Linked DNA regions of Cricetulus griseus. The protein of the gene in region 1 interacts with the protein of each later gene in a pairwise test. Links are inferred from orthologs where the notes say so. Each region holds a gene or a part of one and is shown in the gene's direction. Other genes may lie near its edges.

Region 1 (2,622 bases):
TCTTCTGCAGAGCAAATGGAAAAATTCCGCCTGGAACAAAAAGTTTACTTCAAAGGGCAATGCCTAGAAGGTATTCTGCTACATGTGTGCCTGGAGCCAGAGTGTAGGAGGATGGGGCAAAAGGCAGATGCTTTGAGAATGCTAATTTTATAACTAATAGAATGTCTACAAACTGGGCATCCCCAGTGAAAACAAACAAGGCTGGACACAAAAGGGGCTTTGAGCTCTCTGACACTGGAAGCTTGAGTGCCTGTACCTGTGCCTGTATCTGGTGTGGTATTACAATGTGGTCTTGGAAGAAGCAGCTATGGTGAAGTGTAGTATAGAGCTGTACCTGCACATCATAAGCTGAAACTAGTAGGGACTCCCGGCATTGAGTAGTTCTCAAATGTAAGAGAACATGTAGGCGCCATAAAGCTAAAATTCCAAAAGGCTCTCTATCTCTATTTTAGTGCACATCTTGTTACTCCTAAGGAAACACAGCTGGGGCTGGAGAGGTGGCTCAGGGGTTAAGAGCACTGATTGTTCTTCCAGAGGTTCTGAGTTCAATTCCCAGCAACCACGTGGTGGCTCACAACCATCTGTAATGTGATCTGGTGCCCTCTTCTGGCCTGCACTGTATACATGATAAATAAATAAATAAATCTAAAAAAGAAAAGAAAACACTGCCTAGCTAGGCAGTGGTGGCACATGCCTTTAATCCCAACACTCAGGAAGCAAAGGCATGTGGATTTCTGAGTTTGAGGCCAGCCTAGTCTATAGAACTAGTTCCAGAATAGAATAGCCAGAGCTACACAGAGAAACCCTGCCTTGAGGGGGAGTGGGCGTAAGAAGCCTGTGGCACAAATCAGAAGATGGTCTGTGAAGGTCTGTGTCTTTTCCTATGCCTCTGGTTTAGGAGGCATCTGATAAGTCCTTTCATGATTCTGGATAGGAAGAGCCCACTCTAAAGGAGAGGGACAAATAGCCTATGGTTTCCCGTGCCCACAATAGCACTTGCTCACTAGCTTTTCCTTCTTCCTTCAGAGTGGTTCTTCGAGTTTGGCTTTGTGATCCCTAACTCCACAAATACCTGGCAGTCCTTGATAGAAGCAGCACCCGAGTCCCAGATGATGCCCGCCAGCGTCCTAACGTGAGTGAGGTCTCAGGGAATTTCAAAGTGTGTCTCAAAACAGGCTTTCAGGCAGGTGGGACTCCTGGCCCTGTTCACAAGCAGAAATCTAGAGAGAAGTGAGAGCAGAAAATTACCCAGGGCTGTGTCAGGGTTACTGACCTTGAAAAACAGTAGTTTCAAAATCTTTAGACCACGTTTTAAATTTCCAGTTCACCCTGATGACTTGTCTTTGGGTGATAATGTCTTTGGTTGGTTGGTTGGTTGGTTGGTTTTGGTTTTTTTGAGACAAGGTTTCTCTGTGTAGCCCTGGCTGTCCTGAAACTCACTTTGTAGACCAGGCTGCCCTGGAATTCAGAGAGATCCACCTACCTGCCTCCCAAATGTTGGGATTAAAGGCATGTACCACCACCAAGCTGGGTGATGTCTTACCTTGCAGAGCCTTATTTTCTTGGATACAGTGAAGGTAAAAAAAAAAAAAAAAAATTGAGACAATGTGGAAAAGAACCAGCACAAAATGGATGTCAAATCTAGCAAGTTCATTTTCTCACCAAGTCTCTATACACACTTTGGATCCCCTTACCACATCTCCAGAATGCTCCATCTTAGAGGATAGCATCTGGGCATAGGCTTCCAGAAACTGGCCTATGATTCCCTAACTGCTTCCTGATCAACAAACAGTTCCTTTGTTTGTCAGAACAACTGCCAATGGCTAGCAAGATGTCTCAGCTGATAAAAGTGCTTAATGGGACAGACCTGGTGGTCTGAATTTGATCTCTGAAACCCAAGCTAGAAGGAGAAATGCTCTCCAAAAGTTGACATGTGGTGTATGCCTTGGTACATGAGTCATGTGAACCATGGTATGCACCACATGCTCCTGCACTACCACACACATCATACACAGATACACAGTAATAATAATAAAAGTCTGAAAACATTGTCAGTAACTGCCCACTTAGCATATATTCCTGGGAAAAGATTGAGTCTTTCAAATATTTCAATAGGCCTGGGGATGTATCTCAGTGACAAAGAGCTTGCTCAACATGTGTAAGTTCTACGCCCAGCACTACCAAAAAGAAGTTTCAGTAGTAGTGTTGTCTAGAAGTTTAGTCCCACAAATAATTGTGTAACCCTAGGTCATCTACAGGATATCCTTTATTAAAGCCACAGCAAATGTATAAATGAGACATAGAGGAGCTGGAGAAGTGGCTTAGCAGTTAAAAGTACTGACTGCTCTTCCATAGAACCCAAGTTTGATTCCCAGCACCCACATGACAACTCTCAACTCTCTGTAGCTCCAATTCCATGTGATCCCATACCCTCTTAAAGCCTCCAAAGGCACCAGGCACATGTATGTTGTACAGATTTACATGTAAGCAAAACATCTATGCAGATAAAATACAATATTTTTTTGAGACAGGGTCTCTAATTAGACCTGGCTGTTCTGGAACTTGTTATGTAGACCAGGTTGGCCTTGAACTCGAGATCTACCTACCTCTGTCTCCCAAGTT
Region 2 (3,751 bases), on another chromosome or scaffold:
AACCTAAGAATCATCCATAATCTTTTTGTTCCTTCCAATGCTTTCTCAAGTCCAACACCAACCTAATTAAAATGCATTTAATAAAACTAATATAAACAAAATCTAAAATAGGGGGAGGGGAGGAGAGGAGGGGAGGGATAGGGAGAGGGAGAGGGAGAAGGGATTGACATGTGAAGCAAGCTTGTTCCTAATTTGAACTAATAAAAAAATTACAAAAAACTAAAATATCAAAAATAAAAAATAATCTAAAATAAAATAACACCTTACACTCTGCTGCCACTCTTGTCCAAAGTGACAAGAACAGCCACTCACCAAACTGCCCCTGTGGACATTTGTGCTTCTATCGTGTATTTCTTATACACAGCGAGACTTACTCTAGTCCCCAAAGAGCTTGAAACTCACTAGGTAGTCCAGGCTAACCTCAAACTTGTGGCAATCCTCCTGCTCCAGTCTTCAAAATACTGGGATTACAGGAGTGAGACACCACACCCTGAATAATGCTAACCTCTAAAAACACAAACTAGATACAGTCATTTGGGGCCCACCCTCTCCTCAGGGCTTCCTATGGCCATTACAATAGACCACAGGCTCCACAGGGTCTAGTGTGTATAAATCTAGGAGTCTCACTACTCTGTTCTTTGGCCATAGCCTTTGTTCATCCACCCTTCCATTTGCCTTTTGCCATTCATTTAATATGGCAGACACATCTCCACTCTGGGTTTTTTTGTTTTTTTGTTTTTTTGCTGATTTTCTCTCAGCCTCAAAGTGATGTTCCTCTCATGCAGACTCTGGATTTGCTAAACTTGCTTCTTCGGAGAATGAGCGAAAGTGTGCAAAGCTCCTCTGGTGGCCTGTGATTTTTGCTACTTGCTTATTGTTGTGTTCCTTCTCCCAGCTCAGGAAAATGAAAGCTCTAGAAAGTGACTTTCCCTGTATATGCCTAGACCAGAGTCAAGCACCTATTTGGTGCTCAACTAGTAACTGCCAAGTGATTGCATCCCCTCAAAATTCTCTTCTCTCTGAATTTTTTGGTCCTTCCTCATTTCAATTTTTGCTTTAACCACCTCCTCGAGGCGAGGCCCCAGTTGCCTTCTGCACACTATTCTTCCACAGTCCCCATCCTTTGAAGCGCGGCTCCTTTAAATAGACACGGGAAACCGCGTCCGAGAAGGCGGGGCCCGGGCTTGTGGGCGGGGCTTGCGTGCTACGTGCGTGCGCGTTCCGGAGGCGCCGCCGCCGCCGCCGCTCCCGAGGCCGCCGCCGCCCGCCGCCGCGCAGTGCCCGAGCCCGAGCCGCGGCGGAGAGGAGGGAGGAGGAGGAGGTGGAGGAGGCGCCGGGCCGCGGGGTGAGTGCGGGGCTCAAATGGGGGGCGCGGGCTGGCCGCGCCTCGGTGACCTCTTCATAGCCGCCCGCGAGTCCCGGGCGACGGCCCGGGGGCTGGCGGGCGGGAGGGGCCGCGGCTGGAGGCCGGAGCCAGCCACGCCCGCGGACCGAGGCCGCCCGGCCGGGCCTGCGGGACCGGCCGCAAGGGGCGGGCCGCGAGAGGAGACGCGTGTCCGCGCCCGCTCCGAGGTGTCGTCCCCGGGGCCGGGGAAGTGCAGTGCCCTCCGTGCGGCCTTTGCCCCGGCCTCCGAGCGCTGACACCTCCGCGTCCCACTCCGCCGCCAGCCAGCCGGGTTCCCGCCCTCCCTGCCCTCTGTCTTCTGCGGCTTGCCATGTGTTCGCTTTTGCAGCGTTGCTCTCCTCTCTGGTTTCTGCTGCTTCCCTTGCATTTTGTCAGGGTAGAGGCCACGGTGTGATTCTTGTCTTCCTCCCATCGAGGGTGTGTGAGGCGTGTCGGGGTGGTGGGATCGTGGCTTGTCTCACTCAGAAAGTTAAGGACAGTGTCTGCGGCTGAATTGTGTAATCTGCTGTTGTAAGGAGAAGAGTAAGGCAGGACAGTTGTGCCTAAAAAAAAAAAATAGATCCCTAGATTTCCTCACAGGATGGAAAACCAGAGTTTAGGGGACCTTTGATCCTTTGGAAAAAGAACTAACGTTGAGGAACAGTGTGTTGCCGTTGGGAAGGGAAAATCGTTTTGTCGCTGCTTTGAAGGAAGTACTGTGTAAGAAATGGAATAAAAGGGCAGGAGGTTAATGGGCCAAGCGTTACAGGTACCAGCCACTGGTTTCTGCTTCTTGGGTGGCAGAAGATCCGTTCTGGTTTTCTTAGAATCAAAGTGTCGACCCTCAAAATTAACCAGGGTAGCTTGCCTTCGAAAGTAGGCAGTTACAAGAGATGATGCTGGAAACAGGATTTGGAAACTTTCTTTGAGTTTCCTGTCAGAATGTGTGGGGGTGGGTATGCCTATGAGTAGTTTTTCTTTTCTTTTGATGTAATTGAATTCTGCAACACTTTGATATAAGTGCTAGATTAGGCCCCAGATTCCTTTCTGTCTTTATGCTTTTCTGTAACACTTTGTTTCAAAATTAAATTTATATTGTTGAATATGCTTTCTTAGTGTGGTGTTTCAGTGAATCTTGTTTAGCTTCCTTGACACTTCATATTTTGTTATGATTGTGTTCATTTTGTCAAGGATTACATGTGTCCCAACATTTGTTAAATGAATTGAATGGTTCAGTTCAGTGTCTGATTTTCATCTCATATCTTTTTGAGAGGTATCTTTATGTTAAATGTTGCATTTCACTTCCATTAATTAAAAATGTCATTCTTAAACTGATACTTTTGAGAATATGGGCTCTTTTTTTTTTTTGCCCAGGAAAAACAAAATAGACATTTATGCACAAAATTTTGCATTCAGTTTCAGGACTCCTCTAAAGTCCCCCATAGACACTTATTTTAAAAGTGAACTGAAATCCCAGATATTATTCAGTTTCTTATTAGAACTTTACAAAAGTGTACTTTTTTTGTGGCCTTTGGTTGTGATTGTGTCTTCACCTGAACTTCTGGGGATTTGATAACAAGGTTTAAGAGTGATTGTCTTACAATTTTATGTTCTCAGTAACCACCACCACCCCCAAACAGGTTTCATGTATAAGTCAGTAATGCAGTTGAAGAAGACCTTGAACTTCTAATGCCTCTACTTCTAGAGTGCTTGGTTAGGTATGTGCTTCCATGCCTGGTGCATGTGGGGCTGGGGATCAACCCCAGCTTCACACATGGTAGGTAACCGATTTATTAGCAGTCATTTTGTTTGTAGTGCTGGGGATCTAACCCAGAGTTACAAGAACAGTTAGTTGGCAAAGCACTTTACCACTGAGCTATATCCCCAGTCCTAACCCACAGTCATTTTAAAACCAATACTCCCTAGTATCCTTTGGCCCTTTAAAATCATAATTATGACTAATTAGGCTTTTACATGTAAATCTACTTTTTAGTAATAGGAGAATTTGAAAATCAAATAATTTCTTTTTCTCTCTTTCAAGCTTGTTTATATGCATGGTTTTCGTGTAGTTAATTATGAAAATATGCCATATCAGTTCATTAAGCATGTTTGCTGTGTGGCTAAAACAGAGTTCTTGCTGTCATCCCATCAGTCATGAGGTATAGACCATTCATTCCCAAATAAATGTAGAGTGCCAGGTGATGGAGCTGTACAGAAGACAGAGGACTGGTGCGGAGCTAGAGGAAAACACTGCCAGCAAAGACCTGAGACTGGAGCAGAGACCTGGAGGAAGTGAGAGAGGGATGTGTGCTCCCTTGTGTTCAAAGAGACCCCAGGAAGAAAGGCTTCTAGTGCAAAGACCTCAGA

Evidence for each region.
Region 2: the proteins of Pde6d (region 1) and Rap1a interact in a two-hybrid assay, tested with the Homo sapiens proteins (2 studies listed by BioGRID). The link is inferred for Cricetulus griseus from reciprocal best matches to the Homo sapiens genes PDE6D and RAP1A.

What each region holds. Positions count from the first base shown.
Region 1 is NC_048595.1:438,214,611-438,217,232, reverse strand, and holds part of Pde6d (retinal rod rhodopsin-sensitive cGMP 3',5'-cyclic phosphodiesterase subunit delta), read left to right. Parts: coding exon 1-70; intron 71-1,026; coding exon 1,027-1,132; intron 1,133-2,622. UniProt on the Homo sapiens protein: Promotes the release of prenylated target proteins from cellular membranes. Modulates the activity of prenylated or palmitoylated Ras family members by regulating their subcellular location.
Region 2 is NW_023276806.1:51,206,311-51,210,061, forward strand, and holds the start of Rap1a (ras-related protein Rap-1A), read left to right. Parts: upstream 1-1,230; 5' UTR 1,231-1,345; intron 1,346-3,751. UniProt on the Homo sapiens protein: Counteracts the mitogenic function of Ras, at least partly because it can interact with Ras GAPs and RAF in a competitive manner. Together with ITGB1BP1, regulates KRIT1 localization to microtubules and membranes.